2 linked regions of the Anolis sagrei genome follow. The protein of the gene in region 1 interacts with the protein of each later gene in a biochemical or structural test. Links are inferred from orthologs where the notes say so. Each region holds a gene or a part of one and is shown on either strand. Other genes may lie near its edges.

What was found.
Region 2: the proteins of PDGFRA (region 1) and PDGFB form a complex in vitro, tested with the Homo sapiens proteins (3 studies listed by BioGRID). The link is inferred for Anolis sagrei from reciprocal best matches to the Homo sapiens genes PDGFRA and PDGFB.

The regions. Positions count from the first base shown.
Region 1 is NC_090025.1:74,380,973-74,397,200, forward strand, and holds the start of PDGFRA (platelet-derived growth factor receptor alpha), read right to left. Parts: upstream 6,108-16,228; 5' UTR 5,886-6,107; intron 3,915-5,885; exon of another isoform or gene 3,385-3,914; intron 1-3,384. UniProt on the Homo sapiens protein: Tyrosine-protein kinase that acts as a cell-surface receptor for PDGFA, PDGFB and PDGFC and plays an essential role in the regulation of embryonic development, cell proliferation, survival and chemotaxis.
Region 2 is NC_090025.1:163,469,938-163,486,546, forward strand, and holds the start of PDGFB (platelet-derived growth factor subunit B), read left to right. Parts: upstream 1-9,681; 5' UTR 9,682-9,892; intron 9,893-16,609. UniProt on the Homo sapiens protein: Growth factor that plays an essential role in the regulation of embryonic development, cell proliferation, cell migration, survival and chemotaxis. Potent mitogen for cells of mesenchymal origin.

The sequences.
Region 1 (16,228 bases):
GATTTTTCTTCCCAAAACTCAACCCAGACAACTTTGTGAAGTTCCACAATTTATAAATAGATTTCCTAACTCTTTTCTCCTTTTTCTAAACCTTTTCTCCTTTTTCTAAACCTTTTCTCCTTTTTCTAAACATTTCAGGTGATCATCTATCATCATAACCTGGAGTTAGAGGGTGCCATCAAGTCCTTGTATGGGATGGATGCCCATCCTACCTGTCTGGACTACAAGGCTCATCATCCTCTGCCAGCCAGGTCAATGGTCAGGGATGATCTGCATGAGAGTCCCCAAACACTGGAAGCCTTTAACTCACAAAGTCAGATTTACAGCAGTATTAACTGCCCTGGAACTTGAAAATTTGTAGTTTGGAAAGGGAGGAGATCCTTGTTTTATCACAACACAAATACTAGGGTTCTATATAATGGTGCTGCAGGTAATTAAGTGGAATCACAGCGCTGTAATTGTGTCATGTGGAAGAGACCTTCACCTGGGAGCTCCAGCTTCCCATACAGGGACATGAGAGAAGCTTCCCACAGGGTTGTAAAACATGTCCTTGCAGACGGCCAGGAGCGACTTGCAGTCTCTCAAGTTGCTCCTGTTTGGTGAATCCAGACTTCCATCCCTAGAGAAGACAACAGAGGACCCTTCCAAACAGCCCTATATCCTTGCAGACAGCCAATTCTCACACACCAGAAGCGACTTGTAGTTTCTCCCAGGGCCGTAGCCAGAAAAAAAATTCGGGGAGGGTTGAAAATTTCGGGGGGGGGGGGGGGTTGAAACCTGCCTCCTAGCTCACACTGAAGCAAAGAGCACAGCAGGGGGCAGAGCAACCTTCCATAGCCTGCAGCTCCACCCCTGTCAACCACCTCCACCAAGTCTGGCCTCCTTAATGAGAGCATTCAACAGATGCACCCCCAACTTGGTTGCTTTGCTACATTGGCTATTGCTGCAAGTAATGACAGTGTGAATAAATTGTCAATATTTGCTTGAGATAGTGCTTACAGTTCTGGAGGAACTCTTAATTTTTTGCATCTCATAGACTTAGCATGGGGATTTGGTTAACCAGTTAAAATTCACGAATAAACCAGGTTTTTTAAAAAAAAAAACTGAAACATTTGGGGGGGGGGTTTGAACCCCTAAAACCACCCCCTCGCTACAGGCCTGGTTTCTCCTGGTTGGAGAATCCAGACTTCCATCCCTGGAGAAGACAACAGAGGACCTTTCCACACAGCCCTATATCCCAGAATATGAAGGCAGAAAGTCCCACAATATCTGCTTTGAACTGGGTTATCTGAGTCCACACTCAGATAATGTCGGATTTTCTGCCTTGGTATTCTGGGATAAAGGGCTGTGTGGAAGGACCCAAGGTCCTGACGTGTGAAATATCTGTGTGTATCACAACATTTCCTCCGACCTTACCACTTCTTCATTACTACTCTTACTACACACTAGCGAACACACATTTTGGTGCCTCAACCATTAGCCTTATTTCATAGGATTGAGCCATAGCAGTTAGCAGTTCTGATTTATTTCTTTGTTGTTGTTGCTGCTGTTGTTGTTCACTGGCTAGCATACATTTTAGTGCCTCAAATATTAGACCTGTTTCTGGGTATGTTTGACGGCTGATTCCAGAACCATAGAATCCTAGATTTGGAAGAGACCTTGCCAAGAAGCCCTGCCAAGAAGCAGGAAAATCGCGTTCAAAGCACTCCCAATAGATGGCCATCCAGCCTCTGTTTAAAAGCCTCCACAGAAGGAGACTCCACCAGTCCTCCCATCAACTCTAATTTTTGAGATAATAGAACATACATGTCATATTGGGGATCCCTCCTCCCATCACCAACTGCCGCTCTGGGCCATTATATTATATTATATTATATTATATTATATTATATTATATTATATTATATTATATTATATTATATTATATTATATTTTAGCATAGCACAGAGTGTCTCCTGTGCTATGCTAATAATATAATATAATATAACATAATATAATAGCATAGCATAGCATAACATAACATAATATATTGTATGTTGTTCATTCGTTCAGTCGTTTCTGACTCAACGTCATGGACCAGCTCCCTGTCGGCCGTCACAACCCCCAGCTCCTTCAAGGGAATATATTGTGTATACATATAATATTAATAATATTAAAATATAATGCAATATAATTATAAAATGATATAATTTTATATTCATATTACATATAAAATTACTAATAATATTACATTATAATGGTATAGTATAATATTGTAATATTTAATACTGATATTATACTATGCTAATAATATATTGTATGTGTGTGTGTGTATATATATATATACACTACACACACACACACACACACACATATATATATATATATATGTGTGTGTGTGTGTGTGTGTGTGTGTGTGTGTGTAGTGTATATATATATACACACACACACACATACAATATATTATTAGCATAGTATAATATCAGTATTAAATATTACAATATTATACTATACCATTATAATGTAATATTATTAGTAATTTTATATGTAATATGAATATATATATTGTAAGTAGTTCTGAGTACCCTTAGGGGTGAGAAGGGCGGCATAATAATAATAATAATAATAATAATAATAATAATAATAACTTTATTTGTACCCCGCTACCATCTCCCCAAGGGACTCCGTGCGGCTTACTTGAGGCCAAGCCCAACAACACATCAACAAACAAAAGCAATAACAAAACAAAACAATACAATTAATATAAATCACATAACCAAAAAACCAAACAATAAATCAACATATAAATGTCATAAATAAATAAATAAATAAATAAATAAATAAATAAATATACCAATCTTCTGGCTCATAGAAAAGCATCATAACAATATCTGATGCCACACAACTGATTCCCCCCCCCCCCCCAATGGCGCAATGCTCCTTGGCAGAATCAGGGAGAGCGGGTTGAGCTCCCTCTGTCAGCTCCAGCTCCTCATGCAGGGAAATGAGAGAAGCCCCCAACAAGGGTGGTAAACACATCAAACACCTCGGTGTCCCTGGGCAACGTCTCTGCAGACGGCCAATTCTCTCACACCAGAAGAGACTTGCAGTTTCTCAAGTCACACACACACACAAAACGGATGTTGTCTATCCCTGCCATTTTCTGAATCGTTGCCTTTAAAGAACCCTGGAACAGGTCTAACAACCAAGACACCAAGAAAAGCAATAGTAGTAGTAGTTCCCCACTTTCCTCTCTTAAAGGAGACCCACTGGTGATCCTAGCTTGATCGGGACAACCCACAAAGCCGCCTAGATATTTGGGTTAGGGTTGGATGGCAAAGGATGCTAAGCCAAGCTTTTCCAAAGGAGTGGAGGCGCAGAAAGCAACAAAACAACAGCACCCACCCAACGCTCTTCAAGGTTTTCTTCCTGGGATTGTTAGAGCTTAATCCCAGGGCTAAGTTTGGAGGAAACTGGGGGTTCTTCTTGGATATTATCCAGTTGGTAGCGGTATTATTCCATCCAAGATGTGAGAAGTGGGGAATCCAATCCCTCTCCCAGTTTCCACGGCTTCCTCTGGAAAACACAAGGGAGCAGAGGGACTGTCTGCCAAAAAATCCCAAAAATCAAGAGGTTGTTCTCTTCGTCGCCCCCCAAAAGTGAAATTCAAAATCGATGGTTGGGAAGAGGAAAAACACTACATCCGTGCGATACACTCCACGCAAGTTTGAGACGAAAAACCCTCTCTTTGCCCCAAAGCGGAGGACCATCAGGGAAGGAAATCTTCTAAAGATGATGGTGATAAGAAGAATAAAGTTTTTTTAAAAACCACGCAAAAGGGAGATGATCCAATCCGACGCCGTGGGGAGTTTGGGGAAGGGGTTGTTTTGCTCCTCTCCTTCTCCGACTCCCGACTGGCTGCAGCTTCAGAAAAACTCCCGATTTCTCCAAACAGGGGGTGATATATCCCGGAACAAAATGTCACGTCGGGGGTGGGGTAAGAGGGGGAAAGGGGAGGGGCGCGAGGGGAGTGGCTCCGAGGGGGCGGGGCGCCATTCAGCACCGACGGCCGAGACAAAGAGGAGCCCCAAACAGCGGCGGCGTCCTCAACTAAGCAGGGGATGGTCAATGTTGCGCAATGGAGAGATTTTTTCCCCCCGGAGCGTTTCCTTTTCTTTTCCTCCCTCCAAAAGGCAACCACTGCAGCGTTGGCAGTGCCAGGCGCCCGCCTCTTTCCACGGGCCGCCGTTTGCCCAAGTCTTCCAACCTCCTCCCACGCTTTCCCTCCTCGGAGCCAGGCTCCGGTCCCAGAAGGAAACGTCCGCCTCCCTTCTCCCCCTTCTTCCAACCCCGAAGTTTATACTGACCAAGTTGGAACTGGAGGGAGAGGGGCAGTTTCATCCTGGCTCCCTGACCCCCCTCGGTGTTGAAATGGACGGGAGGAGAGGGAGAAGAGGGAGGAGAAAGGTATAGCAAGGAAGTGTGTGTGTGTGAGAGAGAGAGCGAGAGAGAGAAGAGAAGAGAAGGGAAGGGAGAAGCGAAGGGAGAAAGGAAGGGAGAAAGGAAAATGGAAGGGAAGGGAGAAAGTGGAGAGAAGGGAGAAAGGGGAAGGAAGAAGGGGAGAAGAGGTAAGGGAGAAAGAGGAGGGAAAGGAGAAGGGAAGAGAGAAAATAAGGAGAAAGGAAGGGAGAAGAGAAGGGAAGGGAGAAAAAAAGAGGGAAGAGGAGGGAAGGGAAAAAAGAAGGGAGAAGAGGGAAGGGAGAAAGGGGAGGGAAGAGAGAAAAGAAAAGGGAAGGGAGAAGAGAAGGGACAAAAGAAGAGGGTAGGGAGAAGAGAAGGGAAGGGAGAAAAGAAGAGGGAAGAGAGAAGGGAAGGGAGAAGAGGGAGGGAAGGGGAGAAAGGAAGAGGGAAGAGAAGGAAGAAGGGAGAAGGGAAGGGAGAAAGAGGAGGGAAGAGAGAAGGGACGGGAGAAAAGAAGAGGGAAGGGAAGTGAGAAGGGGAAGGGAGAAAAGAAGAGGGAAGGGAAGAGGGAGGGAAGGGAAGGGAGAAAGGAAGAAGGAAGAGAAGGGAGAAGAGAAAGGAGAAGAGAAAGGGGAGAAAAGAAGAGGGAACGGAAGTAAGAAGAGAAGGGAAAAGAGGGAATGAAAGGGAAGAGAAAGGAAAAGAGGGAAGAGAAGAGAGAAAAGATAAGGGAAGGGAGAAAGGAATGGAAGAGAGAAGAGAAGAAAGAGAAGGGAGGCAGGACCCATCTACCCTGGCTATTTGATAGACTCCGAGCTGCGGAGATCTGACAACAAACTCCCATTGAAGTGCACGAAAGAATAATCGCCACTAGGGTTTCTAACGGGTCCCGGGGCTTCCTAGGGAATAATCGGTATAGTTCCTTCAACACTGCATCAGTGCAGAAAGGGCCGGGGGGGGGGGGCAGACTCCCCCAAGCCCTCCACCAAAGATTCCCTCCGGATGGGGGACTGAGGGGGACTGAGGGGGGTGTCTTTCCCTTCCTCCCCTTCCCCCCCTCCCCGCCTCTCCAGATCTCCTTCTCTGGCAGTTTGGGGAGGAATGCCCCTCCGCCACCGCCGAAGGATCTGGTTGTCATTAGCCCAGGCGACGCGGATCGGCTTGGCGTTACTCCCCTTCGGAGCCTCCTTCTGACGAACGAGACAGGCAACGGGAGATAGGAATAAATAACTAAAGTTCAGACCTCCGTCCCCTTGTTTTCCCCGCACCTCTTCCCCAAGCAGAGGCTGGAGCTGGGACCAAGTACGGCGCTCCTCTTTCCCTTTCGTCCAGCCGATTGCTCCCCCCCCCCCTTCAAAGATCGACCCTCTGTTTCCCAAATCCCAGAGTTTCTTCTCCTCTCCTTGAGTTGGGAGGGTGCGGGGGAGGCTGCCTCCGAAGCTTACCTTTCGGCCTTCAATTCAAGCGCGGGTTCATGCTCCTCCGGGCCCGTCTCCCTCTGCTTCCCCCCCCCCCTTCCCCTCCTCCTCCCCCTCAGAAGCGGAGCCCCGTAATTGATTCAAGGCGAGCGCCCATCCTGCCCCGACGGAGCCTGGGCTTCGAGGGAAGAAAAGCGCTGTCAGGAAATGAGGCGCGCTCCTCTCTCTCTCTCTCTCTCTCTCTCTCCCTCTCCTCCGCCTGCCGCCCGCTCCGCCTCCCTGCCAGAATAAGAGCCTCCCCGCTCGCCTTTTGGGGCTCCGGGCGCCTCGGGAGAGGGGGGGAGGGGGGCTTTTACGCCGCAGGAGAGGGACCCGGGCGCGTGTGGGGCCGGGAGGGGAAAGCCCCGGTCTCCCCCAGTTGGGGATGAGCGATGGGGAAAGGGAGAGCCGGGCCAGATGGCGGCAAGGGCGAAAGATTCTCCCCCCCCCCCTCCTCCTCTCCTCCGTCCCAAATGGTCCCAATTTCGTGCATGAACACAAGTCCCGTCCCCACTCCCTCATTAAGGGAGGATGGTGGGTCAGGCTCTCCCCATGGAAGGAGATGGAGGGCTGCTCTCTCGGAGGAGGAGGAGGAGGAGGAAGGCTGCCCTGGGAAGGAGGCAGCTGCGGGAGCGCTTCTTAGGAGCGCGCTCTGAAACCGAATTATTCCCCAATCAAAGGGGAAAGAGGGGACTGGAAAAGTGGGATTTGGGGAGCCTTTCCTTTTGTGACTGGACATAATTTCCCCCATGGATTGAAGTCAACATTGACACTGAAATACAACAACGCCTGAGCTCTGCGAGTGCAGCATTTTTCCGAATGGAGCAGAGAGAGTTTGAGTACTGGGACATCCGTAGGGATATCAAGGTGCTTGTTTATAAAGCTACTGTCCTCCCAACCCTACGAAAGGTGGACTGTCTACAGAAGTCACAGAAGTCACATGCAACTCCTGAAACGATTCCATCAGCACTGCCTCTGGGAAATCCTGCAAATCTCTTGAAAAGACAGTCAGCGCTCTGGAAGAAGCAAAGACCACCAGCACTGACGTGATGGTCCTCCGCCATCAACTCCACAGGACCAGCCTGATGTCCTGATCCCCGACCACCTTCTCCCAAAGCAGTTGCTTTACTCTGAACTCAAGAACTGAAAACGGAATGTTGGAGGACAGGAAAAGAGATTTAAAGATGGGTTCAAAGTCAACCTTAAAAGCTCGGCATAGACACTGAGAACTGGGAAGTCCTGGCCCTTGAGCGCTCCAGCTGGAGGTCAGCTGTGACCAGCAGTGCTGTAGAATGTGAAGAGGCATGAATGGAGGGAGAAAGAGAGAAACGTGCCAAGAACAGACACAGCGAACTGGGAAGCCCCAGCTGGAGGTCAGCTGTGACCAGCAGTGTTGTAGAATTGGAAGAGGCACGAATGGAGGGCAAAAGAGAGAAACGTGCTAAGAATAGACACAGAACAGGAAAGCCCTGGCCTTTGAGCACTCCAACTGGAGGTCAGCTGTGACCAGCAGTGCTGTGGAGTTTGAAGAGGCATGAATGGAGGGCGAAAGAGAGAAACGTGCCAAGAATAGACACTGAGAACTGGGAAGCCCTGGCCCTTGAGTGCTCCAGTTGGAGGTCAGCTGTGACCTGCAGTGCTGTAGAATTTGAAGCAGCATGAATGGAGGGCAAAAGAGAGAAACATGCCAAGAGGAAGGCTCATCAGGCGGGACTGCGGGAGAAGATGCAGATCAAGTATAGGGCTCCACAGTCACCTAGGGACCCACTGCACACTGACCCTGGAGGATCATTCTACTCGGGCAAAAGTAAGTAGAGTGAAGGCAGTCCTGTCCCGGACAGAGAAGGAAAGGCTTCAAAAGACAAAGAGGGGTTTGGCTTCGATCCGAGTCGAGGAGGAAATAGTGGACACATTGGTGTCTGTCCCTGCTTTGTCTCAAGAGAAAGAAGCCTCCCGAGTAGCGAAAGAGGCGCTCTCCTTCATCGTGGGGTGTCTGTACTGTGTTGTGGGCGTCATGGTTTTGGGGAGAAGGGTGCAGAGACTTTGAGGTGGGAGCTAGAAGAGGCTGCGCTTCATTTTCGCAGGAGGAGCGCTCCAGATCTCGGCATTTCCCCGGCGCTGTTCCGCTTCAGAGGCCAAGGGGGCGCCCCGAGTCCAGGAAAGGAAAAAGAGGCGCCCAAGAGGAGGAGGGGGAGGGGGAGGGGGGCGCTTTCCAGATCCATTTCGAGGCGCGCGCTGGGATTAGAAAACAGAAACAGCTACGATTCCTGGAAAAAGGGAGGGCGAAGGCCTATTGGGGTCCTGGGACCTTCGTGTCACCCCCCCCCCCCTTCTGCCTATGGTTCGGTTCTGAACACTTCTTCCCTCGACAGCTCCAGCTCCTCATGCGGGGACATGAGAGAAGCCTCCCACAAGGATGATCAAACATCAAAACATCCGAGCATTCCCTGGGTAACCTCCTTGCAGACGGCCAATTCTCTCACACCAGAAGCTACTTGCAGTTTCTCAAGTCGCTCCTGACACGACAAAAAAAATATGGCCAGAATCACTGGGTTGTGGGTTTTTCGTGCATCCAGAAGCATTCCCTCCTGACGTTTCGCCTACATCTCTGGCAAGCGTCCTCAGGGGTTGTGAGGTCTGTTGGAAACTAGGAACATTGGGCTTCAATATCTGTGGAATGGCAATTGAAACATTCACACTTGCCTCAAACAACAGACAAGAGTTCTTTCTCCCACCCTGGACATTCCATAGATATATAAACCCAATGTTCCTAGTTTCCAACAGACCTCACAACCTCTGAAGATGCCTGCCATAGATGCAAGCGAAACGTCAGGAGAGAATGCTTCTAGAACATGGCCATACAGCCCGAAAAACCTACAACAACCCAGAGAGAGACTCTGTCCTTTTCTCAGTATGGAGGTTGGGATCTAATCGGGGAGAACGGGGTGAGTTCCCGTCTGTCAGCTCCAGCTCTCCATGCGGGGGACATGAGAGAAGCCTCCCACAAGGATTTTTCTTTTGTTGTGTCAGGAGTGACTTGAGAAACTGAAAGTCGCTTCTACTGGGAGAGAACTGGCCGTCTGCAAGGACGCGTCAGGAGCGACTTGAGAAACTGCAAGTCGCTTCTGGTGGGAGAAAACTGGCTGTCTGCAAGGACGTTACCCAGGGGACGCCCAGGTGTTTTGATGTTTTATCATCCTTGTGGGAGGCTTCTCTCATGTCCCCGCATGAGGAGCTGGAGCTGACAGAGGGAGCTCGTCCGCACTCTCCCCGGATTCGAACCTGCGACCTGTTGGTCTTCAGTCCTGCCGGCGCAGTGGGTTAAACCCCTGTGCTGGAGCCCCCAGATGTAAAACAAACATCTGGGCATTCCAGGGAGTGGGGTGAGCTCCCATCTCTCAGCTCTTGCTTCTCATGCCTCCCACCGGATAGTAAAACATCTGGACATTCCCTGGGCAACGTCCTTGCAGACGGCCAATTCTCTCACACCAGAAGCGACTTGCAGTTTCTCAACACGAAAAAAAAGGGAGGGAGATTTCACCTTCCTCCCTGTACTCTCCAGATGTGACATGTTGGCCCCTCTTTGGGGCAGTTGGCTAACCCCCCTAAACATCTGGAAATGTGGAGGGAGAAAGGCTTTCGTGGTTTGTATTTGTAGCCTTCCAGTCGTCCACCCAGTCCTCCGCTCGCCCTCTCTTTCGGGGTTCTTTCGGGGTTCCAGCCCCCTTCGTTGCCTCCACCCAGCCTCCTTGGTTCAGCCTCCAGCCCCCTTCGTGGGGTCGCTTTTCCCCTCCCGCATCTCGGGCTGAACGCGCAGCCCGGACTATTGCTTCCACATGTTCCTTCAGGAAACCTTTGGAAGGGGGGAAAAAACCCCTCTGAACAGCAGCCCCCTTGTTCGGAATGCTAACAGGATACCGTATTGCTTGGAAAAGACTCGCAGGCGGCCACGAACAAGGGGAACATGGCCCTTTCTCGGAGTTTGACTATCGCTTTAAAAGATTATCCAGGAAATACATGGGACTCGATCTGCTGCCCCCCTTCTTGTATACTGAATTCTCGTTGGGATCCGAAGGATTGGATGGAGGGGGGAGTGGGAGTGGAGTAAATAAGGTTTAGAACAGCGTTTCTCAACCTGGAGTGTTGTTTACTAAGGAAGTCATGCTTACCCCTCTATTCTGCCTTGGTTAGACCACACCTGGAATATTGCGTCCAATTCTGGGCACCACAATTGAAGAGAGATGTTGACAAGCTAGAAGGCGACTAAAATGATCAAAGATCTGGAGAACAAGCCCTGTGAGGAGCGGCTGAAAGAGCTGGGCATGTTTAACTTGAAGGGGAGAAGGCTGAGAGGAGACATGATAGCCATGTATAAATATGTGAGAAGAAGGGAAAAGGGAGAAAGCTTGTTTTCTGCTGCTCTGGAGACAAGGACGTGGAACAATGGCTTCAAACTGCAAGAAAGGAGATTCCATCTGAACATCTTCCTGACTGTGAGAGCAGTTCAGCAGTGGAACACTCTGTCCCGGAGTGTGGTGGAGGCTCCTTCTTTGCAGGCTTTTAAGCAGAGACTGGATGGCCATCTGTAGGGGTAATTTGAGTGCAATTTTCCTGCTTCTTGGCAGGGGTTGGACTGGATGGCCCATGAGGTCTTTTCAAACTCTATGCTTCTATGATTCTAGTGGAGTTCAGAATGCTCTTTGATTTTAAGTGAACTATAAATCTCAGCAACTACAATTCCCAAATGTCAAGCTCTATTTTCCCCAAACTCCACCAGTGTTCACATTTGGGCATATTGAGTATTCGTGTCAAGTTTGGTCCAAATCCATCATTGTTTGAGTCCACAGTGCTCTCTGGATGTAGGTGAACTACAACTCCCAAACTCAAGGTCAATGCCCACCAAAACCTTCCAGTATTTTCTATTCGTCATGGGAGTTGTGTATGCCAAGTTTGGTTCAGTTCCATCGTTGGTGGAGTTTAGAATGCTTTTTGATTGTAGGTGAACTATAAATCCCAGCAACTACAACTCCCAAATGTCAAGCTCTATTTTCCCCCAACTCCACCAGTTTGGGCATATTGAGTATTCGTGTCAAGTTTGGTCCAAATCCATCATTGTTTGAGTCCACAGTGCTCTCTGGATGTAGGTGAACTACAACTCCCAAACTCAAGATCAATGCTCACCAAACCCAGTACTTTCTATTGGTCATGGGAGTTCTGTGTGCCAAGTTTGGTTCAGTTGTGAAGTAGCAACAAAAATAATGTTATGGTTGGGGGTCACCACAACATGGGGAACTGTATTAAGGGGTTGCGGCATTAGGAAGATTGAGAAGAAGCTGATCAAGGGGGCTTTTGTTGCCAAAGAGAAAGAAGACAGAAGAAGACAGGGAGATGAAGGTCAGAGGGAAGAAGAGCAGAGAGAGTGGGAAGGAGAAAGGGGGAGAAGAGCTTCTTCTGGTTGTCATTAGGAGCCTGATTTGAATAATGCCTTTGTTATGATGGAGGAAGAACTTGGGATTGGATGGAGGACATGAAATATCCCCTTCTGGTGCAGATGGATAAGGAAGGGGATCCAGAAGCAGAAGGACTGCGGGTGAGCATGAGGTCCTCCTGCCCATCAAAGAGAAAAAAGAAGGCTGGATGTATCACTTCCAGAGCTTGGAAAACTTCTGAGGCTACAGCTCCCAGAACTATAAACTGCTCAGCTGTCATCCAAAAAAGGAGAGCAAAGCTCTGAATCAGAAAGCAGATCAGGTCAAGTAGCAGATGCCTCTGAAAGGACCTTACAAAGCCAAGAAACACTGCCTTATAAAGGACAGACAGACCTACTATCTCTCCAACACATGCAAAAGATTCACATCATGGCCCTGGGTGTTGTTTACTAGGGAAGTTATGCTACCCTTCTATTCTGTCTTGGTTAGACAACACATGGAATATTGTGTCCAATTCTGGGCACCACAATTGAAGAGAGATATTGACAAGCTAGAAGGTGACTAAATTGATCAAGGGTCTGGTGAACAAACCCTATGAGGAGCGGCTTAAAGAGCTGGGCATGTTTAGCCTGAAGAAGAGAAGGCTGGGAGGAGACATTATAGCCATGTATAAGGTTGCAATTAACAGTGAAGAAGATTGCTACAGGTCTCAACAATCTAAGTACAACATCTCTTCTGATATACTAGATTGTATACATTGATTTTGATTCAATTAATTGTCCACTTCATCCATTGCTGCAGGTCTTGGCAATCTAAGGACATTTCTTCTAATATACTAGATTGTATACATTGATTGTGATTCAATTAATTGTCCACTTCATCCAAGATTTTTTGTGATTTTTTAAAAAAGTTCTTGTAAATTCATTCATCAACCAGATATTTCTGAATTAGCTTTTGTGCAGATAATGTTTGACTGTCTTTCAATGGGGAAGAATTACTACATTTCAGTTGAAAGGAGATGTTGACAATCTGGAATGGATCAACTAAAATGATCAAGGGTCTGAAGAACAAGCCCTATGAGGAGAGGCTTAAAGAGCTGGGCATGTTTAGCCTTCAGAAGAGAAGACTGAGAGGAGACATTTATAAATACGTGAGAGGAAGCCATAGGAAGGAAGGCGTAAGCTTGGAACAATGGCTTCAAACTACAAGAAAGGAGATTCCACCTGAACATTAGGAAGAACTTTCTGACTGTGAGAGCCGTTCAGCAGTGGAACTCTCTGCATCGGAGTGTGGAGGAGGCTCCTTCTTTGGAAGCTTTTAAACAGAGGCTGGATGGCAATCTGTCGGGGGTGCTTTGAATGCTTCTTGGCAGGGGGTTGGACTGGATGGCCCATGAGGTCTCTTCCAACTCTGTAATTCTATGATTCTAGTGGAGTTCAGAATGCTATTTGATTGTAAGTGAACTATAAATCCCAGCAACTACAATTCCCCCAAACTCCACCAGTGTTCAGGTTCTGGGTGGTTTAGAGATGGCTTAAATAGACCTGACTTGCTCATTGTGAGGTCTAGTTAGTTACCCATCTGCAAAAAGAGAAAGCCCAATATCCCCCAGCCCCTTTTCTCCATCTTATGAAGGCTCTTTGAACTCTTGGTGTTGTTGTAGGAGAAGAGTCCGGATGCCTCCTCTGTGTGGTCCTTGCAGGGAAGATGGCGAGAAATCTCCCCCCTCCCTCTCTCCCCTTATTCCCCCTCTTCCCACCCCCCTTCCTTATCTAGGTAACGGGGAGTTGACAGAAAACAGGGAATATTGACACCATATGTGCCCTTGTTGGAAAGCCTTTGCCCTGGCTCCTCTCTCTGTCTCTCTCCCACAAACAGACGGGTCTATTGGCCATTTGCTGGGAGGGGCGCCCCACTGAGTTGGAGTCAAGCGCCACGACCCCCGTCCTCGCCCCCTTGCCCATCCCATTGTGCTCAGGAGACAGCCAGCAAAGCTCACAACGACTGGACTGATCTGTGATCAATGAAGTGTGGTTTTGGGCCCCAAAGGGAAAGTGCCACTGGTTGTGGGAGTGGGAAGGCGCCTTCGTGGGCAAATGGGAATACAAGAAACCCCTGCAAGGATTGTGTGGAGTGGGGAGCTGGAAACGCATCTCTTTGGATGCTCTTGTTCTTAAGACAACAAGACTGGAGAGGCATTGGATGTTTGGGTTGTTGTAGGTTTTTTCGGACTATATGGCCATGTTCTAGAGGTATTCTCTCCTGACGTTTCGTCTGCATCTATGGCAGGCATCCTCAGAGGTTGTGAAGTCATAAATGCAGGTGAAATATCAGGAGAGAAGGCTTCTAGAACATGGCCATATAGCCCGAAAAAACCTACAACAACCCAGTGATTCCGGCCATGAAAGCCTTCGACAATACATTTGATGTTTTTTCGTGGGCTCTTCTACACTGCCATATAAAATCCAGATTATCTGCTTTTAACTGGATTATATAGCAGTGCATGAGTTTATGCTGGAGTATATTAGTTTACGCTGTTATATAATCCAGTTCAAAGATAATAATAATAATAATAATAATAATAATAATAGATTCCATCTGAACATTAGGAAGAACTTCCTGACTTCGTTCAGCAGTGGAACTCTCTGCCCCGGAGTGTGGTGGAGGCTCCTTCTTTGGAAGCTTTTCCCCAGAGGCTGGATGGCCATCTGTCAGGGGTGATTTGAATGCAATATTCCTGCTTCTTGGCAGCGGGTTGGACTGGATGGCCCATGAGGTCTCTTCCAACTCTTTGATTCTATTAATAATAATAATAATAATAATAATAATAATTTATATTCTGCAGTGTATGAGTTTACACTGGATTATATGACTTTAGCTGCTATATAATCCAGTTCAAAGCAAATAATAATGATAATAATAATAATACTAATAATAATAATAGATTCCATCTGAACATTAGGAAGAACTTCCTGACTGTGAGAGCTGTTCAGCAGTGGAACTCTCTGCCCCAGTGTGTGTGGTGGAGGCTGCTTCTTTGAAGCTTTTAAACAGAGGCTGGATGGCCATCTGTCAGGAGTGCTTTGAATGCAATATTCCTGCTTCTTGGCAGAATGGGGTTGGACTGGATGGCCCATGAGGTCTCTTCCAACTCTTTGATTCTATGATTTTTTTAAATTATTATTAATAATAATAATAATAATAATAATAATAATAAAACTTTAATTATATTCCGCTCTATCTCCCCAAAGGGACTCAGGGCGGATTTCAAACCTAAAAGGCAAACATTCAATGCCCGAATACAACAACAATACATCCATATTAACAAAATGTATCCATCCCAACATATAAATATGAATTAACAAACTAAAATTAAATAAAAAGCACAGCATGTTATAACAGATACAGATACATACTCTGGATTTTCTACTTTGCCAATATGGATTAAATGGTAGTTTAGCTCCAGCCTCATGAATTTATATGAATACACCAATATTTTCCAGAATTTAACATAGGATCAGATCCTTCCAGGGAATTGGAGTATCTATACATACCTACACAGCGATTTCATGGATTTCTGTGTGACCATACAGCCCAGAAAACTCATAGCAACCCAGTAATTCTGGCCATAAAAGCCTTCCAACACAATAGTTACCTTGTTTCCAAAAGGTACCAAATCCATCTGAACCATTTTTTACAAGAATTGGTTAAAAGGCATTGAAGATGTGCATTGTTTTGCTACAAATTGCGATTTCTCAAGTCGTATACTAAAGTGATTTGATCTAGGTTGTTGTAGGTTTTTTCAGGCTATATAGCCATGTTCTAGAGGCATTCTCTCCTGACGTTTCGCCTGCATCTATGGGGTCTCACTACCTCTGAGGATGCTTGCCATAGATGCAGGCGAAACGTCAGGAGAGAATGCCTCTAGAACATGGCCATATAGCCCGAAAAAACCTACAACAACCCTGTAATTCTGGCCATGAAAGCCTTCGACAATACATTGATTTGATCTATTTTGATAGTTTTGATCTGCACATAACATTCTACTATTAGCCAACAATCTAGAACTCTTTTTTTTTAATTTGGGGGATTCTATACCTTTTGGAAACACATTCCACCTATAGAAACAGGCAGCCTTACTCCTAATTGCTTCAATTGCTACATAAGACTATAAAGAGATACTCAATGATCCAGCATGGTGTAGGGATTTGAGCGTTGGGATGTGACTCTGGAGATCGGGGTTGTAAACTAGGGGCAAGTCACACTCTCTCAGCCTCAGAGGAAGACAAAAGCAAACCCAGTTTGAACAAATCCTGCCTAGAAACCTCCAAATATGTTCTCACAATCCAGAAACTAAAGGCACACAATAACAGTGAACTCAATAGGGTTTAGATCTTAACAGACAGGAGTATGCTGTTAAACTACTGAAAACAAGGTGGTAGACAGTGGGTCCTTCCAAACAGCCCTATATCCCAAAACATCAAGGCAGGAAATCCCACATTATCTGAGTGTGGACTCAGATAAACCACTTCAAAGCAGATATTATGGGATTTTCTGCCTTGATGTTCTGGGAAGGGTCCTAAGACTTCACCTTCCATACAAGGAAGGGAAATAAATTTGAAATTTTAGAATAGAAATTGCTCCACACTTTCTTCCTAATGAAGGCATTTGGGGCTGCAGTCGAAATCCATTCAATCGCCTCTAATGCCCAATTCATAAACTGTTCCAGAAGTGTCTTCTTTGGGGCAAAATTCGTTCATTTCTTATTTTGATACTTTAGGATCATCGGGAGAAGTAATGCACTAATGTATTACTTCAAGCGACTGAACGCTTGTATTTCTAAGACATTTTGGGATTATAATCCCAGCACCTGAAATTATAATGATATTTTTAAGAACATCT
Region 2 (16,609 bases), about 89 Mb from region 1:
TAATATGGCAAAACAATTGTGCTATTTCTTTGGCACACTGAAGAAAAATATTTCCAGTCCACCGTATTAGATAGGAATTAGATAGGAATGCATTAGATAGGAATTTGTTCATCCTCTAACACTGCTCCATCATTCTCCATCACTGCTCTGTCATTCATTCTCTATCACTATATGATCACTCCGTCTGGCTCACTGCACACTTGATCATTCTCAACTTTCCCCGTCTGGAAGGCTCATGAACAAAATGTTCCACACCCATCCCTTTATTACCTTTCCACAAAGCCTTCTTGCAACTTAAGAAAAAAATACCTCCCTCCCCTTTTCCCCACTCTTGTTACTTATTTTCCATCTGTGATTCAGAGCGTGTAACTCCTGTTCTCCTGCTTCCGCCTCCACACCTTGTGGGATACGGTGTTTCCTCCACCTCCATACTTTGACTGCATTTGGCACATCTACAGCCACAGAAAATAGAGACAGCATTTTGTAACTCCTTTTCCCATCAAATCCTTGCCTTCTTGGCAAAATGGAAAACTTAAAATATAATTTCAAAGAGGAGAAAAAGCACAGCAGGGTTCACTTGTTCGCTACACCAAGAATCATTGAGTTGGAAAGGAAACAGGGTTAAGAGAAGCAGAAGGTCACAATGATCCCAGCTATGTTTTACCAAAGCAAAATTATTGTGGTGCAGGGATGCGTGATCTCTTTTGTGAGCTGAGAGAAGCATCCCTAATTAGAGATCTCTGTGTTCGGCGCACTGAGAGGAAGATGAGTGGAATTCACCTTTCAAAGAAAGAGCAGCTCAATCCTGAAATGATATCCAAGAGTACATTATGATCTCAGAACCTTTTAGACTTCAGTTCCCACAATGCCTAGTAGCTGACAGGCTGGCTGGGATTTCTGGGAGTTGAAGTCCAAAACCAGTTTGGGAACCACTGCTCTAAACTGTGTAAAAAGGAGTTTCTTCTAAAGTGGATGTTATTTTAGATGTCACATTCTAACCTTGCTCTAAAAAAACAATTATAGTGACCAGGTGGGTATTCTTATGTAGAACAAGTAATACGTGTTTACTAAATACAGTTTAATGTGTTTACGGATCTTTTCATTTATTTAATAAGTGGTTTTAACCTGGTCTACAATCAACATTTACATAGTTGTCAATATGGGAGGGGGGAACAGTACTCATCTTGTATCTGGTGCTGGCATAACAGGAGATTTGAATCTGATTTGATTCTTTTACATCCCCAAGGGCTTACATCTGAGTTTAAAACATTTTTTTCCCGGAAAAGCCAAGGTCTGCTCTTTAATACTAAAGTGAGCTCGAATAGAGGAACTGTATGGTTGGTAATGCTGTTCTCCCTTTGATTTAATAAGGATGTGTGTGGTGTTGAAATGGCCACTACATAACAGGAAAATGCAAGTTGAAGCAGATTCTCTTTGCCTGTGTACACAACACCTCACTTTTTAGCACTCAGCCCTACTGGTCTCTTGACTTCACAGATATCTTAATCCTCTGTGTCCTCATCATAGCATCCCCATAGTACATCCCACTGTCATTCTTTCTACTAGTCACTATTCATATCTAAATTTCTCTATCCAACAATAGACATCTATCATTCAAGCTTCATACATTTCTCTGACCATGCCTACCATCTTATTCTACAATACCAGCAGCCAACACACAAACTTAAACTCTTTTCAACAGTTATGAAAGGCAAACATAATTTCCCAGTCAATGTTGCCCAAAAAAGTAGCCTTTCTAAGCAATTCTATAAAAAAGCAGAATATCTATTTGTGCAAACAATCTCAGAATGATCTTGGAATAAGGCTGTGTCTGTCACATATTATATGACCAACTTAGGATAAACATGAGTTGTAGAAGCATAAGGGCTACAGGCCTGGTCTACCTTCCACCATGCAAAAGGCATATGACCATAACAGCAACAACAACAACAACAACAACAACAACAACACACTTTATTTATACTCTGCCCTTCTGCCCTAGAGCAGATTACAGTGTATACAGCGGACATAGGCAAACATGTCCGCTGTATACTCACATACAATGAGACACACAAACACAGATGAGGCAAAGGCTTCTCCTTTCATTTCTGGCTTCTGGAGGCAGTGCTCATCTCTGGTTCTTAGGGAGGTGCTTTTCTGTATTTCTAAGCCAAGGAGCCTGCATCGTCACCTCCTGGTCACATGGCTGGCAAGACTGCTTGGAGTGTCTTTTTGCTTTTTCGCACCAAACAATTCTTATTTATCTACTCATATTTGCATGTTTTCAAACTGCTAGGTTGACAGGAGTTAGAGCTAACAGTGGGTGCTCACCCCATCCCGCAGATTTGAACTGCCAACCTTCAGGTCAGCAGTTCAGCAGCACAACCCCTTGTTGCATATCCACCATATCTTTAGCAACAAGGTGGATTACTTACCAAACAGACACCTGAGCAAATAGATATAACTACAAATATATCTATTTTGTATATCTTGGACTGAAGCCCCTAGGATTCTGAGAACTAAAGAAAAACAACTAAAGAAAACTCTCATTTTTGCTAGTGTACAATTTACTGCAAACTACATTTTCCTCAGACAGTAAATTCATCATTTATTTCTTGAATCTATACTATGCATTCACACATAAAATGCCCATGTTCTAAATCTATCCACGATCCTTTTGTTGAAATATAAGATTACATTTTTAAAACTGCAACCCTATACTTGGTTATCTCATTGGAATTCAAACATCTTGAAATCAGTAGAGCTTTATTTTGAGTGATTAATGTAGAATTACTTGAAGCTGCTTAATCAGTTTGATTGATCAGTTAAAGCCTCTTTAAAATGTGTGTTCTTGATTAATCGCGTAACAAATAATCCACAGAAGAAAATACCCATTTAAATGAAGTTGGCTTCAGAACAAATATACAATATGTGCAAATATAAATCTTCATTTATTAGCCCAACTAATGAATTGATGTTCAGGGATAAGATCTATTAGGTCCATTTGCTAAGTCATGTAACATTATACCATGCATTAGGTACCAAGAAATCCTACAATTTCTCTCCCTCTATGGCAGTGGTTCCCAACCTTTTGTTGACCAGGGACTACTTTGACCAGGGTCCACTTGACCAGGGACTACTCTCTCACATTAGTACCAAAAGGGTTATCAATCAGTTCAGTCAACTATAGATTTGGTTTGGTTATTTGGGGTGCTGATTCAGAAAATTGAATTGGATAGACCACATAAGCTCTAGTTTCTGATACAGAACATATGCCATCCACTAGTTGCCATCTGCTTGCCTGCAGAAACCCATACTTAATAAGCTTTGGCACTATAAGAGAGTTTTGTAAGACCAGTTGCTCTTGTTGCAACAGCGAGGCCATGGACCATATTTTAGTTCTTGTGAACCACTGGTGGTCCACCAACCACAGGTTGGGAACTACTGCTCTATGGTATGGTCCAATGTGGGAAGAGGTTCTCAGGAGTGACACCAACCCTAGTGATGCCACTAGGCTTAGTAAGCCTCCATGGGTGAATCATTGGGAAAAGGGGTAAGTGCAGCTTTACTATATCAGTTGTGGCAGCAGCACACTGTCTAGTTGCAAAGACAACATATACTAATTCCTCCTGTCATTTCTGAGAACAGGTGTGGCCTAATGGTTTCTGCCCCATGCAGACTGTGAACTTCAAATACCTGTACCCTTGCTATTACACCCAGGAGAACCTGATCTGGTACTGAGCTCAGCTCAATACAAGCAGGCAGCCTGGATGCCCCAGCATCTATTATGCTTGAACAAAACCCAAGGGAAATCCCAGAATCCCCACAGACAATTTCCCCCTCTGAGAGTGGTTGCCCAAAAGAAAGCAACTTTCTCAAGGTCTATGCTAGATCCAATTTGTCAGAAACAAATAAAGGACAAGTGTGGCTTGGCAGAATGAAATGGGAATCCCAGAGTAGAGCATTAATATCCAGTGTGCATAGACAGGGCGCTGTGGGTGGTCCAGAATGAGCAGTGGGCGCAAGAGGAAGCCGGGAGTGAAAGGCTCTCTGTTTGCAACCCAATAACCCCCCAATTCAGCATGCATGCCTCCTGACATTTACCCCTACCCCGACTCCAACATCCCACCTCTGGCTTTGCAAGCATGAGGGACAAAACCATGGAAATCCCCTCTGCCTCATCACAGGGAAAAGAGGAGGAGGTGGTCTTGGTGGTGAGCTCACCCTCTTTGTGTTAAGTTTGCAAAATCAGTGACAAAGTGGCAGGGAGAAGGACGGCGGGAGGGGAATGACGACGGGCAGGAAACCAAGAATACATCAGACGCGCTATATTTAGAGCCTTTTATTGAGCCGAGGACAATATTCCTTGATTTTGCATTGTTTTGGAGAGGGCAGAGGCCAGGAGAGCTATTGAAACCTTTTGTCTTTAGAGATGCCACTTTGTCTGGGTCCATGGGGGTGGCAAGGAGAGGACGTAGGAGCACACTTTGACATGTGTGTTGTGGACAGTTTGTGTTTTTAAAAAGATGAGTGCCATTGCATTGATACTATGCTCACACGCCCTTCCACTAGACTTCTGCAGTGATGCACTTCTCTATTCTCTCATACAGATTCAATGAGCAAAACTTCATCTTGCTTCATTATAGTCATTAACTTTTTGACAAATGGGAAGAATGCAGAAGGAGAGAGGATTCATTGATGTATCTATAGCAAGACAAAAATGCTGGTGAAGGAACATAGTGATGCAAGGATCTCAGAAGTTACACAGCCTATCTCAATTCAGTAGTTTTCAAATGGGTGGGACAACAACCCCCAGCTGATGGGAATTGTAGTCTGACACACCTGGAAAGTGCTAGCTTGGGGAAAACTGAGTTAAATAAGATGTCTGGGCGTGGCACATTTGTCACGGCCTTTTGAAAACTGGTTAAAACTGTGGTGTCTAACAGAGCTTTCAGTATTACTCCTTGATATAAAGAAAGATGTCCAGTTGGTTTGGTTTCTAAATGTGGGTATATATTTGGTATGATGAATGCATTTTAAATGCTACATTCTGGGGTTTTTTCTTTCACATGGCTGTATCTTCTTTTTTCCAGTGGCATCATAGCATCCCTTCACACAGTTAAAACTGGTGCGCCAGCTCCAAACATACCTCAAGAAGCCTGACTTGGCCATGGTGGTCCATGCCTTAGTGACATCTATAATGGACTGCTACAATGCACTCTATTTGAAGACGGCTCAGAAACTGCATTTAGTGCAAAGGTTGCCAGCCAGATCACTAACTGGGGCTTATAATAGGGAGCATACTATACCCCTATTAATGTAGCTGCACTGGCTGCCAACAAGTTTCCAAATCCAATTCAAAGTGCAGGTTAGTGCCTATAAAGCCCTATACGCTTTCTTCAAGACCGCATCTCCTTTAATGAATTGGTGCGAGCTCTAAGATCTGCCAGAGAGGCCCTCCTCTTAGTCCCACCCCATCTCTGGTGGGTGGGGATGAGAGAAAGGGCCTTTTTGGTGGTGGCCCCCTGGCTTAGCCCCCACTCTCCAAGCTTTCCGGACACAACTGAAAACATTTTTGGACCATGATTAGTACCTTAATAACTAAACCCAAGGACCTAGTGATTGATTCGCTTTAGCACTTTATGGGACTGTTACTATACACAGCCTGTTTATATCCACAGTCTTATTGATTTATATGTTTGTGTACCTTGTTGTATTTTGAGTGCTGCTCCACTATTGTGTGTGTTTTCGTGAGCCACTCCGAATCTCTTTGGGGAGATGATAATAAAGTATTTTATTGTTGTTGTTGTTGTTGTTGTTGTTATTATTATTATTATCTTTGTTTTGGAATACAACTCCCACAAGCTTTGGACAGCCTTACCAATGGCCAGGGCCCATGGGAGTTATAGTACAAAACATCTGGAGGGCCGGTGGTTCCAGAAACAAGAGTAACTCTAAATCAGTGGTTCTCAACCTGTGGGTCCCCAGGTGTTTTGGCTTACAACTCTCAGAAATCGCAGCCAGTTTACCAACTGGTTCTAAATAGAAGCTGCAATTGTGTTCTTGGCAGCCCAAAGGTGTAGAAAATAAGCTAAACAAGTGAAGTACTATGAGAAATAGGGGGCTGACCAACAAGGTCCCAGAATGGTCAGCTTACATGAGAACCAGGAGCAAAAGGTCATTTGCTATACACAGAAGAGGAACTGAAAGGAATGAAGGGGAAACCACGGCGTCTCTAAGCAAGTCCTTGGGTTTCCAAAGAGACTTTAGGTTTACCACTCCATATATGGGGAACACATGGTTACAAACTGATTCAAGTCATCGTGAGAGTGAGCATAGTTTCAGTCTTTGTTTTTCGCTCTCTCTCTTTCTATGAATGTATCAATTTCCAGCACGCAGTTGAGTAGGGATTGTAGAAGAATGAGGAATATTGTATGAGGGACACCTACATATGTGCAAGAGACCACATGCTCGTGCAAACTTCAAAGGGATTTCTCATTCTACTCTCAGAATGAGTTGGCAGTAATGAATGCTTCTGACTCTAGAGGTCGGGAGGTCCATCTACACTGAAGAATGAATGCAGTTTGATGCCACATGAACTGCGATGGCTCAAGCCTATGCAATCATAAGACTTGCACTTTGGCGAGATCCCAGCATTCTTTGTCAGAGGGGGCTAAAGAACCGGCAAAACTATAACTCCCATAGGTTATAGTCCCTCTATACCATTGAGCCATAGCAGTTAACGTGTTGTTAGACTGCATTCATTATAAAGTGTAGATGCACTCAGAGACAGCACAAAGACAGTAAAGTACATACTACCTCTGACCTCTCCTTGTTTTTTTTGCAGAGTGAGAACTAAGATCACTGTGCTAATACTGGGCACATCTACACTTAGGTTGGTTCCAAATTGGAATAGCAGAAACTAATTCCACTGTGAGAATTATTAGACTGACCTCTATGCAACAGGTTTGAAGCCCAGGTGGCAGTGAAGCAACCACAGAGGGTAGCCAACTGGTCCCAACAATTACAGTATCTACGGCTTGGCAGCCATAGAGAATGTGGTTCATTTTCTCACTCCCTCTGCAGCAATGTGCATGTGCATATCAGTAGAATGCTTTGGGTAACCACACAATGATCCACATTCTATGGAGTCACGTTCACCATGCAATATCATTTATCCTTGAGTGTGCTGATGCACATTACAGGCTCTATTTTAACATATCCTCTGACTTTGCTTATCTCTGTTTAAAGGACTTGAAGCGTGCTGCAGCTTCACAACATTGTGTTGTAAATCTGATTCCAAGCTGCATTAAATGGTCAGTGTTTGTTGTTTATTTGTTCAGTCACTTTCAAGTCTTCATAACCTCATGGACCAGCCCATGCCAGAGCTCCCTGTTGGCCATCTTCAACCCTAGTTCCTTGAAAGTCAAGCCAGTCACTTCAAGGATAACATCCATCCATCTTGCCTTTAGTTGGCCCCTCTTCCTTTTTCTTTTCATTTTCCCCAGCATTGTTATCTTCTCCAAGCTTTCCTGTCTTCTCATTATGTGGCCAAAGTACTTCATCTTTGCCTCTAATATCTTTCGCTCCAGTGAGCAGTCAGGCTTTATTTCCTGGAGTATGGACTGGTTGGAACTTCTCGTGGTCCAAGGCACTCTCAGAATTTTCTTTCAATACCACAGTTCAAAAATGTATATCTTCCTCCACTCAGCATTCCTTATGTTCCAGCTCTCAAATCCATAGGTTACTATGGGGAATTACTTACTTTCTTAGGTGATCCCTCATTGTCCGAGTAGGATTGTCTTCCAAGATTGGTGTACTAGCGGTGGGTACGTAGGTGACTGTGGAGCTCTATTGTTGATCTGCATGTTCTCCCGCAGTGAGGGCATTGGTTGTCAGGTGGAAGGCAATCCTGGTTGGGGTTGGCTTGACACACTTTCCTCTTGGCATGTTTCTTTCTTTTGCCCTCCATTCGTGCTTCTTTAAATTCTACAGCACTACTTCCAGTTGGAGCTCTCAAGGGCCAGGGCTTCCCAGTTCTCAGTGTCTATGCCACAGCTTTTAAGGTTGGCTTTGAGCCCATCTTTAAATCTCTTTTCCTGTCTACCAACATTCTGTTTTCCATTCTTGAGTTCGGAGTAGAGCAACTGTTTTGGGAGACGGTGGTCGGGCATCCGGACAACGTGACTGGTCCAGCGGAGTTGATGGCAGAGGACCATTGTTTCAGTGCTGGTGGTCTTTGCTTCTTCCAGCACGCTGACATTTGTCCGCTTGTCTTCCCAAGAGATTTGCAGGATTTTTCAGAGGCAACGCTGATGGAATCGTTCCAGGAGTTGCATGTGATGTCTGTAGATCGTCCACGTCTCGCAGGCATATAGCAGGGTTGGGAGGACAATAGCTTTATAAACAAGCACCTTGGTATCCCTAGGTCCTCAAACACTCTCTGCTTCATTTGGAAAAATGCTGCACTCATAGAGCTCAAGCGGTGTTGTATTTCAGTGACAATGTTGACTTTTGTAGAGAGGTGGCGGAAATGGTCAATATTTTCTAATGTTACACCATTAAGCTGTATTTCTGGCATTGGAGAGGGATTGGCTGGTGCGGAATACCATTGCTTTAACTATGTGGATGGAGCCCCGGTGGCACAATGGGTTAAACCCTTGTGCCGGTAGGACTGAAGACTGACAGGTTGCAGGTTCAAATCCAGGGAGAGCACAGATGAGCTCCCTCTGTCAGCTCCAGCTGCCCATGCGGGGACATGAGAGAAGCCTCCCACAAGGATGGTAAAACATCAAACCTCCAGGTGTCCCCTGAGCAATGTCCTTGCAGACAGCCAATTCTCTCACACCAGAAGCAACTTGCAGTTTCTCAAGTAGCTCCTGACATGAAAAAAAACCCCAACAAACTATGTGGATCCTCATTGCCAGTGTGATGTCTCTACTCTTAGTGTAGATGGAGCCTAAATGGGCCTCTGAATTGATTTATGGTCTCATTCCCAGCCCCATGCACTATTGGTGAAGAACATAAAGGGTCTCCATAGGACTCCCTTACCTCAAAATGGGAATCCAGTGTTCCCTCACTTACTGCGGGAGTTCAAGTTCCAGGACCCTCTGCAATAAGTGAAAATCTGCGTAGGGACACCAGATTAATTTCAATATTTATACATTATTTTCTATATTATTTTCTTGTCTGCGCTTCCTTACCCACCTCCCGGCCCATCCCAAGGGCACCTGCCTGCCTCCCTGGCCTCCACAGATCCCTGCAAAGCCTCTGGATCCATGCAGGTGGCAGCAGGCTAGGGAGGCAGGCCTTCCCCGCTGCACCTCAGGCTGCCGCACTTCTGGGGTCTGTGGAGGCCAGGGAGGCCGATCTTCCCCACCACACCTCAGGCCACCTCACTTCCGAGGTCCCTGCCCTCCACTGGACGTACATATTTTATATTTTATATTCATAATTTCAAAAACTCACGAAACAGCGAGTCCGCTAAAAGCGAACCGCGAGGTAGCGAAGGAGCACTGTATATGGAAACTGAAGTAAAGCAGACACTGCATGACAAATATGAATATATTTTAGAAGTAGAGATTCCCTTTTGCACCTGGGGGTGTGGAACTGGGTGCTCAGCATCATCTGAGTCATTTTAATTCCTCTTTCCTTTGAGCTGAGATACAACAGGATCTTCCATGGAGATGAGAGTGGAGTGTGATAAAGCTTAAGGATGGGGAAGGATGTATTGCAAAGGCTTTTGATTTTCACGTCTCTTTATTTTACCTCATGAGTCATATCATCATGTTCTCAAGAGCTGAGTAACTGCCGGGTCTATTTTTACTCTAGTTCAGCAGGCTTTCTTTCCTCAGCGGCTGCTACAGCTGAAGAGCCGAAGGACACGAGGCTGGTGAGTTGGGGGCCATGGATGGCTTATTATGAGAGACGGGACTGGGTGGTGATGCTTTCTGGCAAGGGGGGGGGGGGTAGCCTTGCATAGTTAGGAAAGAATAATATGCTAATATCCAAAGGAACAGAATAGGATGTGACACACATCTCATAAATGTATATATTCACACAGAGAAAGAGTTATATTTGGGGGTGGCGCAGGGGATGGGCAAAGGGGAGGTATTTCTTTCCAGTGCTATTTGGGGACTTTGGAAAAAATAACGAAAGAAAGCAGGACATTTTTCCTTCCAACAAAACAGGAAAGAGATGGTGGGGAAAGGAGGAGGGGGATAGATAGCATCAAATGCTCCTCAACAATGGACAGGGATGGGTGGGGGAGAGTTTCATTGTTTCCTAAATATGGGGAGGGACAGAATGAATAGAACTGTGAATATATCTCTGCAGGAGGTGTTTTTAATCCCTTGTTCGTAAAAGCATTCAAGTATCAGAGCATGCTGCACTTCTGTGGAAAACTGGCCTCCTCCCCTCACCCAAGAGACATCTTTATATTTTCCTTGTGCATCTTTCTCTCATGCTCATGGACATACACACACACTTACATTCATTGAAATCTACAGAATAATCCTATATTATAACATAGGGAGTGGAGAAATGCAATGCCCTTATATCAGTGGAACAGCCATTACACCCTCTAGTCCAGCGTTTCTCAACCTGGGGGTCAGGACCCCTGGGTGGGTCGCAAGGGGGTGTCAGTGGGGTCACCAAAGACCATCAGAAACCACAGTACTTTCTGTTGGTCATTGGGTTTCTGAGTGGGAAGTTTGGCCCAAGTCTGTCGTTGGTGGGGTACAGAATGCTCTTTGATTATAGATGAACTATAAATCCCAGCAACTACAACTCCCAAATGCCAAGGTCTATTTTCCCCCAAACTCCACCACTGTTCCCATTTGGGCATATTGAGTATTCGTGCCAAATTTGGTCCAGATCCATCATTGTTTGAGTCCACTGTGCTCTCTGGATATCGGTGAACTACAACTCCAAAACTCAAGGTCAAACCCTTCCAGTGTGTTCTGTTAGTCATAGGAGTTCTGTGTGCCAAGACTGGTACAATTCTATTGTTGGTGGAGTTCAGAATGCTCTTTGATTGTAGGTGAACTATAAATCCCAGCAACTACAACTCCCAAATGACAATATCAACCCCCCCCCCCCCAACCCCACTAGTATTCAAATTTGGGCATATCAGGTATGTGTGCCCAATTTGGTCCAGTGAATTAAAATACATCCTGCATATCAAATATTTGCATTACAATTTATAACAGTAGCACAATGACAGTTATGAAGTAGCAACAAAAATAATGTTATGTTGGGGGTCATCACAACATGAGGCACTATATTAAGGGGTCATGGCATTAGGAAGGTAGAGGAACACTGCTCTAGTCTATGCCCTCAGCCTGGGAAGAGTAATGAAAAGATACCCTGAAGAACATTTGAAAAGGGCAGACATCATCTCTGAAAATATCACTATGGTCTTCCAATGAGAGACTGCTGGCAATGATGCCTACATGCTCCCTACACCCATATGTGGAGGCAGCCCATGAATTTGTAGCAGGGACATGTCCCCGAGCAGTCATATACCAAAGAGGGTGATGCCACAGTGTTCCTCAGAAGCTCAACTTTTGGCACAGAACCCCAGTACTGCAACTCCCCAGGTACCACTCCAAAGAGGACATACCCTTCAACACAAATAAACCAGTTCGCATGTGGCCCAGTAACATTAGAGTGTGGTTACAATGCCAAAAGTTATTAATGAGAAAGAAGACAAAAGCAAGGAGAGCCTGCAGTAGTTTACTTTTGCCCAAGCCTTCTAGGAATGGCAAGATTCTGCTCCCTATATTTCTCTCCCTCACCTGCCAAGTTAACCAAGTCCAAACTACTTTTGTATTTCAGTTTTCAGGGTCTAAAGTAGGCTGAGGACAAAGGGGGAAAGGGGGAGAAGGGGAAAGAAACTGGGTATTTCTAAACCAGCTGAAAATATGAGTGACAGATTAGGATTATCCCAGTCAAATCAGGACAGTGGGTTGCTATATGTTTTGTAGGCTGTATGGCCATGGACCAGAAGCATTCTCTCCTGATGTTTTACCCACATCTATGGAGGGCATCCTCAAAGGTTGAGGGGTCTGTTGGAAATTAGGTAAGAGAGGTTTATATATCTGTGGAACGTCCAAGGTGGGAGAAAGAACTCTTGTCTGCTTGTGGATGTTGAAATTTGCCACCTTGATTAGCATTTAATGGTCTTGCAGTTTCAAGGCCTGGCTTGTTGCTGACTTGGGGAATCCTTTGTTGGGAGGTGTTAGCCGGTCCTGACTGATTCCTGTCTGGAATTCCCCTGCTTTTTGAGTGTTCCCCTTTATGTACTGTCCTGATTTTAGAGTTTTTTTTAATACACATTAATAAGCATGTGGATAATTTCAACAGAAAGGAGGAAACCATGAAAATTAACAAAATCTGGTTACCAGTATTTAAAAACAGTAAATAAAGAACTACACTAAAAAAAACAGGGAAATTCCAGACAAGAATCAATCAAGGCCAGCTAACCCCTCCCAACAAAGAATTCACCCAGGCAGCAATGAGCCAGGCCTTAAAACTGCAAGGCCATTAAATGCTAACCAAGGTGGCCAATTGCAATATCCACACATGCCTCAAGGAAGCAAGAGTTCTTTCTCCCACCCTGGACTTTCCAGATATATAAACCCCACTTATTAGTTTCCAACAGACCCCTCAACCTCTGAGGATGCCTGTCATAGATGTGGGCAAAACGTCAGGAGTGAATGCTTCAGCAATCCAGTGATTCCAACCATGGAAGCCTTCGACAATACATTGAATCAAGACAGTTGAAGGGCATGTTGCAACTATGGGGGAAGAAGGATGAAGGCAGTTCTCACACCTCAAATGAAGAAATGTGCCCCACCAAATGGAATTTTCCATCCGTGTCCCAAATTTTTCACACTGCAGAGAGAAACTGGGACGTTTTAAAAACAGCTCAAAAAAATGAGACCACAGAGGATTAAACAGGACTCTCCCTGCCAAATCAGGACATTTGGAGGGTACAGGGAACCCAGGGCTTGAAAGTAACACATGATAAGCAATCCAGTTACTCCAAATTCTTTATGTTAGGGATAGGTGAGTCACATTTCCAAAGTAATAGAGCAAGTGGGGATGAAGTTACTTTACTGATATAATACATAGCATTTTCTTATGTTTGTTTTTAAAAGACATGTTAGTGATATCTCAACAGACGCATTCTCTCATCACTCTGAAGTTACACTTAGAAATGAAGCAATATATGGCACGGGCAGTTTATTTTCAAAAACAATGCATATTACAACAATTAAAAAGTTAATTTTGTATATCTGGGAGCATTGGAATTCCATTCAGCACCTCACAGGTATTGAAGGGCCACATAAACAAGGTGAAGGAAGGCGAATTCACACAAGAGGACACTCCACCTGAGCACTGCCCTGGGCACACAGCCTCCTTGGAGAAGGCCCCAAGACCTCTCTATGGAGGGTAAGGCTGTTTGGTGGCCTGAGAGCATAGAGATCCAGATAGATCAGCATGCTATAAAAATAGCTGTAGTGCACAGACTATGGCAAGGGTGCATTGTAAAATCTGAAGCACAAGCTCTCACCATGACAACCACATACATAGTAGTAGTTTGTAAGGCTTCATCTTGTGGTTGTATGCCTTTTCATCATTTTCAACTTATGACTAGCCTAAGACAAACAACCCTATTCCAGTGTTTCCTTGGGAAGAACTGTTCAGAAGGGGCTGCCACTGCTCTCTTCTCTAACTGACAGAGTGGGAATTGCTCAAAGTCACCCAGTGGGTTGCTGTGATTTTTCCGGGCTGTATGGCCATGTTCCAGAAGCATTCTCTCCTGACGTTTCACCCACATCTATGCCAGGCATCCTCAGAGGTTGTGAGGCAAGTGTGAATATTGCAATTGGCCACCTTGATTTGCATGTAATTGAAGCCGATAGTCGACAACATAATTGCCTTGTAGCTGCAAAGCCTGGCTGATTGCTGCCTGGGGGAATCCGTTGTTGGGTGCTGTTAACTGGCCCTGATTGATTCTTGTCTGGAATTCCCCTGTTTTGTTTTGTTTTGCTTTTGTGTGTGTAGTTCTTTATTTACTGTCCTGATTTTAGAGGGTTTTTTAAATACTTGTAGCCAGATTTTGTATGGCTAATTGCGACATTCACACTTGTTTCAAGCAGACAAGAGTTCTTTCTCCCACCCTGGACATTCCACAGATATATAAACCTCACTTGCCTAGTTTCCAACAGACCTCACAATGCCTGCCATAGATGTGGGCAAAGCGTCAGGAGAGAATGCTTCTGGAACATGACCATACAGACTGAAAAACTCACAGCAACCCAGTGGTTTTCCAAGGTGGAGCAAGGATTCAAACCTTGGTCTCCCAGAGTCATAGTCTGCTCTTAGTTCTTGCTGACTCTTTCTGTGTACAGTTAATGTGCCTTAGTAGCCCTTTCAAGCATCCTTTCCATCTGAGATAGCTAATACCCCAGAGGACAGGATCAGAATTCAAAATGGCCTTACAGACTAGTTTGGCTGGAGAGAGAGAAAATCTAACATAAGCTTTCATGAATTTACACTGAAACCATCAGATGCACAAAACCTTGTATCAGATGAAATGGACAAGTCCATGAAAGCTTATACTAGCATTTCTCTTTCTCAGTCCCAAAAGTGCTGCAGATTTTGAGGGTATAATTTTATGCTGATACAGAGTAGAACTGCTATGTCTTTGAATAGTATTATAATGGGTTGCTGTGAGTTCTCCAAGCTGTATGGCCATGTTCCAGAAGCATTATCTCCTGATGTTTCACCTACAACTATGGCAGGCATCCTCAGAGATTGTGAGTTGTGCTGTAAAACTGGCAAGTGGGGTTTATATATGATAAATTATTGTAATGTATTACAATGTATTACGATTGGGAAAGAATGCTTGTAAAGCAGTCTTTGTAAAGAAGCAGAGACTGGTATCCAACAGAGTATCTCCTTTAGGTATGAGTAACCTACTCTTGTGATGGGCAAGAAGGAAGAAAAGGGGGTGAGAAAAGTAGACAGCAATATAATTAAGGCTATGCCAATTGGCATAGACTCAATTGATCAATAGAACACAGAAGGGCAGCATTTATGCTTCTGTAGGTCTAGTGTAGCTGGGTCTAATCATCATCATCATCATTATCATCATCATCATCATCATGTGCCTAGACACCATCAGGATTTGTAAAAATGCTGGCACTTTTATTGAAAATGTGATGAAGTTCTGGAAAACTGAACTGTATGTTAGAAGTGAAAGCTATGGACTTGTCAACCTCAGGAGAGGAATTTTCCAGGGAGACTTATTGTCCCCACTGCTTTTCATCATTGCCATGATCCCTTTGTCAACAATCTTACAAAAAACAAACCTCAGCTATTAAACGTCTAAGAAATCTCTCAAAATTTCACATCTGCTGTACATGGATGACCTGAAGCTGTATGGGAAATCCGAAACTGAAATCCAGTCTCTGACTAACACTGTTTAAATCTTTAGCACTGTTATCAACATGGAGTTTGGATTGGACAAATGTTCGACAGTGGTACTGAAGAGGGGAAAAATCATTGAAAGTGAGGGCATAAATATGCCCAATGGCCAAGTGATAAAGTGTCACCAGCCAGAGTCCTATAAATATCTGGGCATACTACAGCTGGACAACATCATACACGAACATGGGAAAACTGGTCAGCAAAGAATACACTCAAAGGGTCAGAAAAATTCTCAAAAGCAAACTCAATGGAGGCAATACCATCAAGGCCATAAACACCTGGGCCATACCTGTCATAAGATATACTGCTGGCATCATAACCTGGACGCAGGCAGAACTGGACGGTTTGGACAGAAAAACAAGAAAACTCATGACCATTCATAATTCACTACATCCTCACAGTGACGTTGACTGGCTCTGTCTGCCTAGAAGGTAGAGGACTTTTACAAGTAAAACAAGCAATTGAAGAAGAAAAACATGCCCTGGCAGAAAATGTAATAGAAAGCCAAAAACCTGCTTTAATTGAAATCAATAATGGGAAACGTCTCCAAGCACAGTGGACAAAGAATTAGTAGAAGAAAACTGCACTACAAACCAGTGCTGACAGCTGGCACAACAAAGTATTGCATGGGCAGTTCCTTTACAAAATTGAAGGAAAAGTTGATAAGGAGAAGACCTGGTTATGGTTCATGAATGGAACCCTGAAGAAGGAGGTGGAAGGCCTGATTCTTGCAGCCCCAGGCATGTAGCCGGGGGGGGGGGGGGGGGGCTTGAGGGGCTTCATCCCCCCCCCCCAAATTCTCATGGTGGTTCGCGAAAAGGCCTTACTGGTGCATTATTTAAACTGTTATGTTTATTCATATCATGATCTGATCACCATACTCAATATATCCCATATGCATGGGGGTATTGGAGTAATGATACAAAAGGTTTGCTAGGGTAAACCCTCTTTCACTCAGACTCAGCCCCCCCGAAACTCAGCCCCCCTGAATTTTTTTTAGCCTCCCCCCCCCCCCCAAAACGAAATCCTGGCTACGGGCCTGTGCAGCCCAGTAGGAAGCCATCAGAACCATTGATCATATCCTCAGCTGCTGCAAGAAAATTACACA